Linked DNA regions of Xenopus tropicalis. The main gene of each other region encodes a partner of the protein of the gene in region 2 in a complex. Links are inferred from orthologs where the notes say so. Each region holds a gene or a part of one and is shown on either strand. Other genes may lie near its edges.

Region 1 (5,411 bases), on a different chromosome or scaffold from region 2:
TATTATTTTTGGGGTTGACATGTCAACATGTGAAATTCAAATATTTTGTAAATACAGATAATAAACTATGTTTGTCTATATATTGCAAAATATTCAGACTGGCCAAATGCATCAAGTCATCCTTGGCGTAACTATAGAGGAAGCAGAACCCACTTCCTCTATAGCCACTCCTGTTTGTTACTTTTTAAACAATGTTGTAATTGCCAGGCTCTTCCAGCAATACAGGTCTGTAAAATCTGCTGCCTTGTGTCACATTGTTTTGGCAGTCTGAGCCACCAGAGCAGAGACTAGAAAGGACAGACAGACACTGCTTTTAATAACAGTTATATATACAAATAACTAAAAAAAAACATTACAAATATGTAATAAATGTATATTGCAAAGTTGCTTACAATAAGAAATTATTTTTGGGGTTGACATGTCCTTTAAGGGCTCGTACTCACAAGTGTTTCTTCCTGAGCTTTACCGCCGTGGCTTTCTCTGGGGTTCCACATCTGGGAAATACAAGCTCTAAACTATAACAAAAGGGAAAGTTGTTCTCACTATACAATTTTAAGTTATTAAGTGGAGGTTCAATGAAGGTGTGACCACAAAATTCATATAGGGTTGCCACCTTTGCCAGAGTCTAAACCCGAACAAAGGGGGCAGGGCAGATAACATTGAGGGTGGGGCAGTGATGTTGGGATTGGGCTCAATGACATCAGAAGTGTGCACAATGATGTCAGTGGGCTTATGATGCTGGTGGGGTTTTTGCATCATTTGATGCAATTTATTGTATTTCTGTCCAGTTTTCATAGCTTAGTTTTAAACTGGAGAGAAAGTTTTGAACTGGACAGCCCTTTGAAAAAAAATAGGATGTCCAGTACAAAGCCACATTGGTGGCAAAAGTATCTTTATCTATAGTCTGCCTGATAAGTAAATCCAATCCTTTAATTATTGGAATTGGATCTATCATATAGATATCAGTTATAAAGAAAGTTTTGAAATACAGCAATGCTAAGTTTAAAAAAAATCGAATTGATCGATTTGCTTGTTTTTTTGTTTTGTAATAATAAGAAATTTACTGTACTTGATGATAACTAAGCCATGTTTAGGTGATTATCTTAATATTTGTCTGGCATTTATTGGCCAGATTATTGTTCGGGTTTCACAAGGCTGAAAACCGAACAGACAGTTGAGACCCGAACAGGTGGCATCCCTAATACAGAAATAGAAAAAAATCCCCTGCTTTCATCCATTTCAATACATTAAGGATATTAAGACATTTTGTGCATAACGTTACTAAAAATGTACCTCCTCTTTAAACAAAACAGGGATTTTTGTTTAAAATTGTTTGTTTGTACATATATTGCAATATGTTCAGGCTGGACAACTGTGTCCAAGTCAACCCTGCTCTCACTTTCATCTGATTCATTAATAATATCATTAGCAATATCCTGCAACTAGAAGGTTTGCCAATGCCTGCCTCACTTACGGGGCTTGTGGTGCAAAGCTAACATTAGACAAGTTGCATATGTGGGGTTTTTGCCCCAGAGCCCCAATACCTTTATTTATGCCACTTGGGATTCGGTTCAGAATCTATGTATCTAAAATATTTACAGTTGCATTGAAGCCATCAATGAATATTATAAATACTTATAAAATAGTAAAACAAACAAGTAGTTGTATTTGTGAACGAAGCACCAAAACTATCAAACGCATTTGGTGAGAGTTTGCCAAAAAAAAAAAAAAAATCACAACATGACTTTTTTATGTACATCCAATCAGAAATCATAAGTTTACAATTAGTCTGAATTTTATTTATATTATATATTACTATATTTACAGTAATATGTGAATTAAAGACATTAAAGGACAATCAGTAGGCTTATTCTGGGATAGAACATACACTATATTTCATTTTCAGGTATTTATTCTTTATTTTTAAGCTGGCACGCATTATATTACAATACTGTAAATCATGCAAAGATCAGTATGACTGTGAAATTCGGGTTTGCAAGTATCTTGTCTAACTACACCACTAAAAACACCCTACTGCTCCACATACAGATCCAGTTGCTTCTTCAACGCATGTGCGAAGTTTGTCTTTGGAACAGAGTTTGTTTCTCCGTCGCATAGATGACGTAAGGGAAAAGAGCCGAGGAAAGCAGGAAGTATCAGTGAGCAGTGTGAGGTTGCTAGCGGAGCGGAAAAGACTCAAGGGTAAGGCTGTTAGGGTATATGGTTTGGTTATAAGTTCACGCAAATGTTAGGGAGAATTCGCGGGTCACTATCTCAGCCTCAGTAGATTGCGTTATATGTGTCAAACTACGGGAGAGCTGGTGCTGAATTACCCTTGTTTAAAAAATGACTTCTTTTTCTTCTAATATTGGGCCACATTATCCGTCCAGAGTAATAGTACTCGTTGAAAAATGAAATGATGACAACTAATACAATATGGCAAGAAAGAGTTCGCCATTTATTGCTCTCTCAGGCATAAGGCAGACTCTGTTTCACAGTAGTGCAAGGCTTTCATCTAAGCTCAAGAGAAGCATTTCTATATAAATAGTGGATTAGTTATTTATTGTCTCATTATTACAACTGCGCCACTTAGGGTAGCAACTGGCTGCAGGGTTGTTCACCTTCACATAAATGCAGTTGTCAGGGCAGATTAGGCCATTCGATGCAAATATGTAATGTATCTCTTTTAAAAAAAATCTCTAGTTTTTGCAAAAATGCCTTTCCTCCTGTTGATTAAGTTTACAAAAAGTACAAGGTTGTTTGCGATCAGAGACAGGGTTGTCAGGTTGGCAAGCTTTGCACCAAATTAGGCTACACTTTTTGAGCTATTCTATTTTTCATATTTTTTTTCTCTGTGCATATTGCAGTATTTGTGGCCTATTTTTTAAATGGCTTTTGGCAGATTTATGCTAGTTTTTTAAGTTTGGTAAGTATAGATTGTGTGTGCTGGGTTTTCTTGGAAGGGTTGAACTTGATGGACTCTGGCCTTTTTTCAACCCTATGCAACTATGTATCTATGTAATTTTGGCTGGTTTTGAAAATTAGACCTTGCAACCCTAATCAGACTACCAGTTTGCTATGGATGAAAATACTGGTGCTTCTGTTGTGTTACTGCCTAATGGCCTACTGCCAAATGAGCCTTGGTAAATAAAAGTTAAGCTCACATTGATATTGCACTTTTGGCTATGGCTTTACTTCTTGCACGCAATTACTGTGTGTGGTGTTAACAGGAGCCCTGTGCCCCCCGCTGACTAGGGGGGAGCAGGTATACTTTATACTTGCCGTGCCTCCATCCAGGGTAGGGACAGGTTGAACTGTAACACCCCTCCCTGGGAAACTCTGTACAGTCCTCCTTGTATATGGACTCCCTGCAACTTCCGGGACCTTGCCCCCCTTAGGGTGGTTGCTTACCAGGCAGTTGAGGATCCAATCCTTGAGGAATTAACCACTGGAAGTGCTGATTAACCAGATGAACTTGTTTACTGTATTCACACAGAGTACGTATGTATGTATCTCTTTATTTATAAAGTGCTACTTATGTACGCAGCGCTGTACAGTAGAATACATTAATACAAACAGGGGCTTATTAAGATAATAGATAAATACACAGTATAACAATAAATACAAGATACAGTTGCAATAACTTAAGAGTCAAAGACACAAGAGGATAGAGGTCCCTGCCCCATAGAGTTTACAATCTAGATCACAGAGTATCCAGTAGTATGACATGCAGGTTCATGTACTTCTTACTTCTCTCAAGAGACCCTCTCACTTAGGCTTATTCTCCTGTACTCCCGCAAGAGATCCTTTCTTAGGAGTTCTCCCTGGTACTCATGCCAGAAGACTCTCTCTTAGGGCTCTCCCCGGTACTCCCACCAAGAGACACTCCCTTGGACTCTCCCCGGTACTCATGCCAAGAATACCCTAACTCATGTCTTTGAACCTTATGTGATACCGTCCACAAGCAAGTTTTCAGCAGTGGGAGTAATGAAAATTCTTGTTTTTAAGGGAGCCAATTTACAATCTGCCTAAGGACTTTGAAGGGGCATTTACAACAACTATACAGAACGCATGTTTTTTGTGTTAATAGATTGAGGAACTTGCTTTCTTCCACTAGAAACAGAACGTTTTCACTATAAAGGGGTCTATATTGCTAATATTGCTAATTGAATAAAGTCCTGCTGGTACCACAAGACAACAGTGGCATGGCAAGTGGTTTTATACCTAAAGTGTGGTTGTGTGTGCAAACATGATTCCATTTTGCATTTATTGTAGATTTTGTTCAATGTTTTGCATTCTATTTGGTGTATAGACAACATAGTCGGGGATATCTGCCAAGTTTCTCACATTAATAAATTGACATTTTCCTACATTACTGGTATTAGTGTGACTGTTACATCCCTAATTTTGTGTGGGTTTTTTTTTTTTCTTCTTTTGAATTTGAATACTAACTACATGTTCATTCATACTGTAATTGGTTAAATAAATGGTTGATGTGTTCCCTTAAAACTGTATTTTGTATTTACTGTGCTTTACAAAATTAAATAAATGAAAAGTTTATATTCTTTAAGTTGTATTTTTTATGATGGATTTCAGTGTACAATTTAGTTTACCACTTGGCCTGACCTTAACTTGATACTGACTTGTACTTTGTTTTCTGTCCCAACACCAGCTGTTTTGTTTCTCCTTTACTTTTATAGACCTTCAGAGGGATAATGGCCAGTAGTCATCTTTCAGTGCATTTGGCCCTTCCCTTGCTTCTAAAGAAATTCTAAGCCTTTGTTCAATTTTATATTTACAAGGGAAAATCCTAGAAACTATCAGCTAATATCCTGTTGGGCAGGGTGAAGAGTAGAGGGGAAATCACTTGGCAAATTACATGGACATTGTCTGGCAGTATGTATCTAATTTGAGAGTGTGTTAAATATTCTATTAGTTTCCATAAGTGTCTGGCTCATAAAACCATTTGGCGTAAATATGCTGCCTTTTAGATATAAATTGATGCATTTATTTTCGACATGTCTATTTTTTTCAAGAATGTAGCAGCAAAAGAAAAAAGAATGGGAAGCAAGCTAATAATACTGATATCTTTAAAGGGGTGCTGTCATGGGTTTCATGGTGTATATTTTAATACTGGTTTGCAGTGTATTCTTAGAAATAATTTATTCAGCTATTTATATTTTCAAACTAATTTGTAAATACGCTGCCATCTCACTTTGTTATGCATTATCCCGTGCTTAGAAAAACAGTTTGGGTGTCAAGACCCATTACCTCTTACAATGTATAATGTATCTGGGGCTAAAGTGTTCTCTGCCTCTTACTGTATTTAATGTATTTGGGGTGTTTGTGCACTGTGCATCTCATTGTATTATATATTTATCACTGTATAATGTTGGGATATTGTTCTTGGA
Region 2 (4,818 bases):
ACATGATTATTTCAGAAACAGTGCAGTGTAAATATATATATTATATATATATAGCGCTAATTATATACACAGCCCTGTACGGTAGACTAGATTAATACTCAGAAAGTTTCTTATATCCATGACCTGAAGTTTATATTACTTTTTCATTGTGAAGTTTTATAAAGATAGATTTTTAAAACACAAAAAAGTTTGATCAAAGAAGAATCTAACACCACACCTCTAGCTTAAAATTGTGCTGAGTATGAACACAATAGGGTTGATTTTGTGAAAAAAAAAAAGCAAAACTGCGTGCAGTTGCCAATGGCAACTAATCAGAAATTAGTTTTGATTGGTCTTCTACAAGATAAGAGTAAAAACTGATTGGTGGCTATTGGCAACTGTAATTGTGCAATTTAGCTCCAGTGTGTAATCAGCCATACTGTTTTTTTTTTTCTTGAGGTTGATTGGGATAGAAGTCACGTCAAAAGCTGGACATACATTCAGGAATACCCTTTTGTTATGGAGGGAGGAAGAATGGACCATTGGTCTAAAAGTATTGTACTGTAATAGTACTGCGACTAAAACCTAAATCTAATTTTTTGGAAACTAGATAGTTTTACATTTTATTTTAGTTCCTTTTCCTGTTGCTCAGCTCCAATAAGATTACAATGCACCACAGCCACAGATCAACATACAGTAAGTATGTTAATTTGATTGGTGGATTAAATAGCATTAATCACTGAGGTGCCTAAGATATTTGTCCCTTATTACAATTTCTTGTAGCCAACTGAGTATTTCATCATGGCCAGAACATCAAGGTCTTTACTAATATTATCGTGTGTTATGATCCTATGTAATGGAAACACTTTAATAAATGCCTTTCTCAAGGCACTTCCATAGAAGTGTTGTTGTTGTTGTGTTTTTTTTTTTTAAATAGCAACTTGGCACAGTTCCATCTTCAGCTCTGGAAATGAGACTGGCAGGAAAGTTGTCACGCCAGATGGTGGTACTGGAATATATGCCTATTTTTTCATTTTTCTCCTGATTAAAGACTCTATCATAACAAAATTGTTGTTATCGCCACTCTAGTTGGAGGAAACAATACCATTTTGGCCAGAAAACGCTCCTAGCGAGTGCTATGATGCTCACACCGAGGATAGCCTTGTTTGGTCCCAAGCATACACATAAAAAGCGAGTATCCTGGTTCTCTCATTATGTGTGTGCATGTGGTGTTAGATCGGGGGAGGAGGTTGCCCAATCCTATGCCACAGAGATGTATATAATGAGCGAAGCTGGGACACTTGCGTAAGGTCCCAACGTGGCTTTCCAAACCAGGTCCCTCCCAACGTGGACAGCATAGTGCTTGCCATTTTCAAAATAGAATTTACCCCCACATGGCATAAAGCCTCCATTAGCCCGCACCTCTGGCAGGTGAAACAATTTTGGTATGATAGGTGGCCTTTAACAGGTCAAAAACGCACAGAGCTTTATGTCTGCTTATTTTAATAAATACATTTGATTTTGTTTTTCAGAAAGTGTGCAATTCTTGTGCATTTTATGGAGCTCATTATGGGCCTTCTCTCTACAAATTATACCCACAAGCAAAAATAGGCAACATAAGAAAAACAATATATGGTAAAGGGAAATTTCCTTTAAACTGATACAATGGAATACACTTTTAAGCAATAACCTTTTATGCCAGTTTGGGTCCATGCCCCAAAGAGTGAGAATTAATTTCTAAATATAAGGGAATGTTGGCAAAAATTAGCCTATCAAAGGCAACAAAGAACAAGAACAGACTGCAATGATCCATTACAGTGAGACTGGTTGCTAAATGGCCTTTCAATGCCGTATTGCAGTGCTGTCCAACTTCTACGGTGCCGAGGGCCGGAATTTCTCTAGCATACATGGTGGAGGGCCGCTAATGGAAGCCAGTTTTGACCACTCCCCTTTTTGAAACCACACCCACTTCAAACCACACCTATTTTATCACAATGGTGGTAGCACAGCAAAATCCCAAATGCTTGGTCCTTACTGTGGGGATATCAACCATCATTCATATGTGAAAGAATTATGTCATATTAAGATATACCCTTAAATTCCATATGCCTCCTCCTCCCCTGTGGATAGCAGAGCAACCCCCAGTACATAAATACACACCTTAGGAACCATTTAATGGCTATTTCCAACTGCTAACAAACTCCCACAACAAACCCCTGCCAGGTTCACCTCCCACAAGCAGCATAGGGCAAGCAGAGTATGGCACACACAGGCAGCACTCTGCCTGTCCTATGCTGCCTGTGTGTGCCATACTCTGCCTTCCCTATGCTGCCTCTGTGTGCCATACTCTGCCTGCCCTACCCTGCCTGTGTGTGCCATACTCTGCCTGCCCTACCCTGCCTGTGTGTGCCATACTCTGCCTGCCCTACCCTGCCTGTGTGTGCCATACTCTGCCTGCCCTACCCTGCCTGTGTGTGCCATACTCTGCCTGTCCTACCCTGCCTGTGTGTGCCATACTCTGCCTGCCCTACCCTTCCTGTGTGTGCCATACCCTCCCTTACCTATGCTGCCTGTGTGTGCCATACTCTACCTGCCCTATGCTGGCTGTATGTGCCATACTCTGCCTACAGTACCTATGCCTGAGGTGTGAAGAAGTGAACAATGGGAGTGATTACAGCCTGAAGTGTGAACACTGCAGGGGGTGAACAATGCAGGTATTAAAAGGTGTGAAAAACACAGTGGATTACATTTTTAAACAATACAGAGGGATTACAGCCTGAATCTGAGGTGAGAACCATGCAGGTTCAAAGGTAAGCCATCAAAGCAGCCAGACAGGTGGGGGCCACACAGAGGGGGGTCGCGGGCCGCCAGTTGGACAGCACTGCCGTATTGTGTATGGATATTCATCAACTGCATAGCATAAATGTTTTGCCAACATGTGCAGTTGCTATTTGCCATAGATACTGTTGGGAGACTGGCATTACAAAGTATTATGCAAAAACTAGAGCTTTCTGGAAGAAAATGAAATGAAAACTGCATTGATTTGTAAATTACCTTAGAGATTACCCCATGGAGCTGCAACATGTTAGATCAGTTTTGTTGCCTCAAAGAAAAATCTAAAACTTGGCAGTTACAATAGGAAAAATCCTCTTTACCGGGTTTATTGACACTTCTGATGGAATACACAACAAGCCCTCTAAACAAACTTAAATGAGAATTTTTTTTTAATAAACTTACATTGTACTGATGGTTTGACACTGGTCTGTAGTTTGTCGTTACTGCCTTTTCTATCTGTTGTGATTGCCTCTTTGGTTTGGAAGATTCTTCAATCTGTTTTCTAAATAGACACAAAAATAATGAAATCAATTAGTACCGGATAATCAGAACATTTAATTCAATAAGCCATTGATGTTTGAGGGGAGATACATCACAGTAAATCGTAATCAGGATAGGCCTAATTGATTGGAGACAAGCCATTAAAAGGGGCCGAGGAGCTGAACTAATTGTTTGACAGTTATGAAAATGTACGATTCACAGTTGCATCGATAGAACTTTGTATAATTTACAAGACACATTTTGTTCCTTAGTTAGATGTTAAAAAATACTTTGCTTTGACTTAGTGAAAAGAAATGCTTAAAAGTGGGCATTCATTACATATACTGTATTCCTGCACATTATGCCAGATATCCGGTTTTAAACCAGACATCCTAATTTTTGAAGGGACTGTCCAAACCATTTGTTGGTTTATTAACATTTTAAATAGTAAAATTAACTATTTGTAATGTACACAGTGTCATTTAGTAATAAAAAATCCACCATAAAAATCATGACAGAAAACCTTTAAACAAACCTGGCCTGATCACTGTCCTCATCTTTTAGTTCTTTATTATATTTATCCCATGCTGATGTAGCTCAATGTCCAAAGTATGTATAAAGCACTATATTTTATTAGTTCTTTGGGTGATAACATAGTCTGTCAGCCTTTGGCAAATACATTTAAGGGTGCATATAAGTCTAAATAGCTTTCAAATGCATTCTGTTCCTTCACACTGTTGCATGGTGTCTGCCTTTTGGAAATTAATTACATATATATTATTTCTTTAGTGTTTTACAGAACTTTCACATTTTTGATATAAGACGAGCCACACCATTCTCCAGAGAACAGGCATAAAACACTGCAAGTTCTTCAGAGTAATGTGTTCCTGCTGCATTTGGCACAGGTTCTTAATATAACACTTGTGCAGCCGTTTCATCAGAGTTGTTTTCAGTACAACTGCTAGTGCTGGTTGGGAAAACAAGAGAACAATCTGCTATTTTACTACAATCCATACAGGCAGATTCCGTTTCTGTTTAACCAGATATTACATATAAAATGGTTTAAAAGGAAAACTAAATATATAGGAATCACAAGACTAATCACTAATTAGGTTATATATAACAAAATAACTATACATAAACTGAAATAAAAAAGTGTTATCTATATAATTTTTTTTTTTTTAATTTAATGCGTGTTATTTGGAGACGAAGACTAGGCTGTTTCAGTAAGCAACAGGGCAAGAAGTGGGGAGCAAAATATGGTCAAATCTGTGCTGATGTCTGAGCGGCCTTTTGAAATCGCAGGACCCTGTACAACAAAAATATCAAGGCTTCCCAGGGGGCCTAATGGTTATTTCCATTATACAATTATTAAAAATTTTATAAAAATTCCCCACTTTGCTCCACTAGTTCTTAAGACCAACCACACAAATCTTTAGACATTGCTGACTGCACTATTTTTGAAACCAACATTGCGTCTTCAAGTTCTGGAAGGCAGGAAAGCAGCATGCCGGGTAGTTTCTG
Region 3 (5,387 bases), on a different chromosome or scaffold from region 2:
GCAATGTGTTCAGAGCTTACTATTTACCTTTTAACAAACAAAACACATTTTTCTCTAAGCATCAGCCATTGAGCAGCTAAATATCAGGGGGTTCTCAGTGGACTGGTAATTAGTTTTATTAGCTCCTTTGAAGTTCTTTGGGACCACAAGTGACAAGAAATACTAAAGTGAAATTGGCTATATATTATTGTTTTGTGCCAGATAATATAGAAAACACAGATATTTCATAATTAAAGCAACAGGCAAAAAGTATGTTCAGCACAAGCCCTATTCATTGAGCTAATGTTGAAAATGGGTGTACTTTCCCTTTGATCAATCCCCCTTACCTGCTTTATAGTACCTACATACTATGCAGCCCTGACCCTGTTATCTTAATTTGTTCTGTTTTCATTCCCACACTTGTTTGACTGTGTCATTTAGAGCAGAACATCCAGCCGCATAGCAAGATTGTATTTCTTATGATGTAATATTTACAGTAATATGGTAGGTGCAGGAAACCAATTAGGTTGTAGGCACAGCAAAATACAGCCATACTGACAGGATTTGCAGCAGCTAAAAGGGACCTGTTGGACTGCAACTTCATTATAAGACCAGAGAGGTGGTGATATGCAGCAGTTTTCATTACTGAGAAAGAATTACGCTGATGACAACGAGTTATGTTTACAAAAACAAAATTCTAAAAATCTTTATTACAAAACATGTAATACCTTGCTTTACACAAGAACAAGGAACACTATCATTAATTAACAAAATCTGATATATATGTAACTTAATCATATATATATGTAGAGCAGATGTCAGACACATGTAACTGAATTTTATCCAGGTCAGCGAGCATCAAACACAACCACTGAAATTGAAAGAATTAAGGAAATATTGAATCAGATAATGGAAAATAAAGTGTAGCACTCATGTACCATAAATAAATTTGCAGTAGATGTTAAATAAATCCATTTTACAATTTAGTGGATTGTTATGTATGGTGTGAAGTTCCCCTTTACAAAGTACTTTTTGGCTTTAAATTTGTTTCCAGCTCTCCCTTAATCTTCCTCTCGTGACTGAATAATGCTTATGGCACATCAACTATTTGTTCTACTGCTGCCATACTCCAAAAAAACACTGGAGGAAAAAACACCCCTGTCCACCATAAAGCTGGCCATACACGCACCGATAATATCGTACAAAACCTTGTTTCATACGATATTTGATGCGTGTTTGGCAAGTCGCCGAGTCGACCGATATCACAGGAGGCTGCTGATATCGGTCGACTCGCCGATCGGCCAGGTTAAAAGATTTTGATCGGGCGCCATAGAAGGCGTCTGAGCAAAATCTGCCATCAGGGCTGAGTCGGCAGAAATCATATTGTTTCTACCTCCTTATCTGCCGTTTCAGCCCTGAACGTTAGTGGCGGTTTCAACAACCTTAACTCTCCTCATATTACGAAATGGAAAGCACCATAGCTAACAGAGCAGAGACACACATTGGGGTCAAACGTTTTGCTTAGATTTTATTTTGCTTATTCTTTTAATAAAATGCATTATTTGATCAAATGCTTTTTCCTTCTTCCATAATTGTTTTGAAAAAATAGTTGCAAAAAGAAAGTTCTTTAATTACACTTTCTGCACAGTTTAGTGGAAATGGTAACAAAAACAATTAATGTTTTTCAAAGGGGAAGTTCACCTTCAATTATGTTTCAGTATGTTTTAGAATTAGCAATTCAGTTGCTAAACTATTCAATTGGTCAACATTTCTTATTTTTATTTTTTTTTAGCTTTTAATTTGATTTGGGGCCACTGTGGGAATCCAAACAACTATTGAGGTTACAATTTTATTTGTATTGCTATTTTTTTTACATCCTTCTATTTAGGCCTCTCCTATTTGTATTAGTATTTCTCATTTACACCACTGCATGGCTGCTAGGGTAATTTGGACCCTAGCAACCTGATATCTGCTGAATTTCCAATCTGGAGACAAATAGCTTAATAATTAAAAACACACACATATAATACAAAGACCAATTGCAAACTGTCTCAGAATATCATAAAATTGAACAACCCCTTTAATGGAAATAAGTTTAATACAAGCCTATTTTACAGGCCATTCTCCGTTCCTACACGCATTCAGTCTGGAGTAAATGTGCAGGTAACCAGAAAAAAAGGATACATCGTTTTGTTCTTTTCTTGTACATTATTCTGTAACCACATTCTCTGCACCTGATTGGATCTCTCGCTTTTATTTCATTTTCCGTGTGACATTCTAAATAAAGATGAGAGAAAATAACATGCAGTTTAAAATCTAAAGAAAATCAATGTTGATAAAGACTAAGATAAATATACAAGTCTTGTAAAAAGACAATGTCTGCAAGGACTGTTGTGAGTTCAAATGGAACAACACAAAAATAAGATGTTTATATTCTGGGTATTGTGAGGGGGTCTTGTCTGGGTGCCTGTATCCAATGTTTCAATCTAGTGGTAGCTCGCTATTGATTCGTAGTTGCACTCTCTTCTCTTAATATTATCCCGACATTTGCAGACACTAGCCAATTAACATTCTCAACATGATCTAAACTAGCACTGCAATCACCAGTATCATTCAGCTCTCCTGAGAATGCTGGAAACTGCAGGGCCTCTTGAAATCATTTTTTTCATCAATAATTGGCTCCCTTTAATTCATGACCAACAATGGCATTTAAAAGCCCACATTTATCCAATTCAGCTCCCTAGTGAATACAGGAGCTCCCATGCCTCCATCTTTCTGCAGTATCCCAATAGTTCCTAGTGACTAGTCCCAAACACAGGAAACAGATGTACAGAACCAAAAGTAATGCATATGCTCAGTGCAAGGGACTTATGGGAAACTAATTAAAATGGCACAGGTTCAACTAGTTTAGAATATATATATTCACTGGAGGGTTTTTTGGGCATATAACTTCTCTTTAGGATATTAGGCACTTTTGGCAAAACTCAGGGTGGGATGCTGGGATTGCAGGTGACCAGGAGCCGAAGTTGTAGGTCCCTGATGTCTTTTGAATCCAATAACTTCCTCTAAAGGCACCCCCGAGTAAAACTGACTGCTTTGAGAGAAAAACCTTACCTCCACAAATGTATATCATCGGCTGCTGCTTAGGAGGAGGTGCGTCCTTCTGGCCTTCCATTTTTTCACCTGAATAACATAAATTGCGGGTATTTTATTCCTGCAGAAAAGTCAATTTGCAGTTACAGCCTTTCTCTCACTCTCCCTACCGTAACGTCACTACATACAATAAATGTGACTACTCGGCCTACAATATATCGGCACAGCACTGCTTTCAACTCAGCATGCACCAAACATCCGAGGCGCACGATTCCTACGACATCAGAAAGCGCTCCTACGCGTGACGTTCGCTGCGTGTGTGCGACGGCCATCTTTAGTGTGGGCAACTATATGTTTCCAAGCTTTATTAGTATGCTAGTATTCTTTCACTATGCAGAAAGGCACCGTTGCTATTCTGCATTATTAAAGTGATTGTATGGTGTCATTTATTTATATAATAGTATGAATTTTCTGATTTTATTATGGATTTCAGGTATGGCGTTTGTTGCTGGGACGCCTGTCTTATATACTATTGTTGCTGTGAAAAATGTACTCTAAACATGCTTTTGTGCCGGAATTTGCTTTTATATGTGCAGACAGTGAATCAAGAAACTATCATACCACTTGGTGCCAAAAACAATGTTTTGTTACTGATCCTTTAGGAAAACTAATGCTATCATTACTACTTATTTTAAATTTATCTAATGCCAACCTTAGATAAAGGCTGACATTATAACAAAGTTTTTTTTTTTAGAAATAACACAATTTCCACTCATCACTTTAATTAGTTGATTGGAATGGCTGAACAAAGGCATCATGGGTATGACTGAAGAAAAGCACCATGGGTACTTATCACATGACCTTTGGAACACATTTGAAAAAAAGTGGGGGGTTTACAGGTTTTCCAGTTTTAGCTCAGTTTCATTGATCCTGAGCAAGAGATAGTCTCCAGGTGACCCTCCAGAGAGGATTCAGGTGAACAGAAATATTTCATTGTGAGGATTTTATTACAGGTTTTATTGGTGGTTTTTGAAATAGTTTAGCAGTTAACTGTCTCCTGGCTGTTGGTTGTTTCAGCCTAATAGTTTGGTTTGGTTTCTGGTTGGAAGCAGGATATTTGTATTAAAACAGATACTGCAAATTCCCTAAATCTTGCTTTTGAAAACCTTGCTTTATGGATCATGCTAAAATGTGTGCACCCCAATACTAAGCATACTTCATAAGCCTCTTGCTTTAAATATAGGCATGTATGGGTTACACCAGTGATCCCCAGCCAGCGGCTCATGAGCAACATGTTGCTCCCCAACCCCTTGGATGTTGCTCTGAGTGGCCTCAAAGCAGGTGCTTATTTTTTTTTGGAGTCAAGTTTTGGAGACCTAAAGTCCATGTGTACTGCCAAATAGAGCCTCCTGTAGTCTGCCAGTCCACAGTGGGCCATCTAATAACCAATCACAGCCTTTATTGGTCACTGCCTAGGAACTTTGTTCATGCTTGTGTTGCTCCCTACATTTTTTTTTATATTTAAATGTTGCTCACAGGTTAAAAAAAGTTTGGGGACCCCTGGATTACACTGTAGGAAATAAAGTGAATTGCAATGTTTCTTTTTATAATGAGGAACTGCTGAGCATGAGTTTAGCAATAATTCAGTGCCAGACTGGGGGGTGTGAGGCCCACTGAAATGATCTAAACCGTGGTATATAAGGTATCACATAGAAATGTTTCCTTTTTCCCACAATTGGTTTTAATTTTGCAAATGCAGGGACAATTTGTTCTATTAAAGGGGTAGTTTTAAGTTTAACTATAACTTTTAGTATAATGTAGATAGTGATAATCTGAGCCAATTTGCACTTGGTCTTCAATTTTTAAAATGTTTAGCAGCTCTACAGAGTAGAATTTCAGCAGCTTTCTTCTTGCTAGGGTCCTATTTTTCCTAGCAACTAGGCAGTGACTTGAATGAGAGACTGGAAGATGAATAGAAAAGGGCATGAGCAGAATAAGTAATAAAAAATACCAAAATTACAAGGCCTAGTATCTTAGGGTGAGGACAAAGAGGGTGATTAGTTGATATAATTTTTAAAAAACTGCGGTTACTAATCGCAGCAATCGGCATTTCCAAACACGGACGTACAAGTTGGCGCATGTGAAACATGCCGTGCAGAACAAGTCCGCATTGTTATAGCCATTTTTCGTGACAACTAAGTTTTTAAAAATTGCAGCGACTAATCGCCCATTTGTCTTTACCCTTACAGTAAGTGTATCTCGCCTGCTAGAGGTTAGCAGTTACTGTTTATTCGCAGATAGTTTAGTAAGCAGAG

Evidence for each region. The genes of interacting proteins can lie anywhere in the genome.
Region 1: gtf2f2 (region 2) and gtf2h5 share a complex: the UniProt entries of both Homo sapiens proteins name them as parts of the TBP-based Pol II pre-initiation complex. The link is inferred for Xenopus tropicalis from reciprocal best matches to the Homo sapiens genes GTF2F2 and GTF2H5.
Region 3: gtf2f2 (region 2) and polr2k share a complex: the UniProt entries of both Homo sapiens proteins name them as parts of the TBP-based Pol II pre-initiation complex. The link is inferred for Xenopus tropicalis from reciprocal best matches to the Homo sapiens genes GTF2F2 and POLR2K.

What each region holds. Positions count from the first base shown.
Region 1 is NC_030681.2:52,596,811-52,602,221, forward strand, and holds the start of gtf2h5 (general transcription factor IIH subunit 5), read left to right. Parts: upstream 1-2,143; 5' UTR 2,144-2,202; intron 2,203-4,794; exon of another isoform or gene 4,795-4,896; intron 4,897-5,411. UniProt on the Homo sapiens protein: Component of the general transcription and DNA repair factor IIH (TFIIH) core complex, which is involved in general and transcription-coupled nucleotide excision repair (NER) of damaged DNA and, when complexed to CAK, in RNA transcription by RNA polymerase II.
Region 2 is NC_030678.2:133,899,987-133,904,804, reverse strand, and holds part of gtf2f2 (general transcription factor IIF subunit 2), read right to left. Parts: intron 3,317-4,818; coding exon 3,217-3,316; intron 1-3,216. UniProt on the Homo sapiens protein: TFIIF is a general transcription initiation factor that binds to RNA polymerase II and helps to recruit it to the initiation complex in collaboration with TFIIB.
Region 3 is NC_030682.2:128,130,682-128,136,068, reverse strand, and holds polr2k (DNA-directed RNA polymerases I, II, and III subunit RPABC4), read right to left. Parts: upstream 3,269-5,387; 5' UTR 3,155-3,268; coding exon 3,094-3,154; intron 2,257-3,093; coding exon 2,164-2,256; intron 851-2,163; coding exon 828-850; 3' UTR 657-827; downstream 1-656. UniProt on the Homo sapiens protein: DNA-dependent RNA polymerase catalyzes the transcription of DNA into RNA using the four ribonucleoside triphosphates as substrates.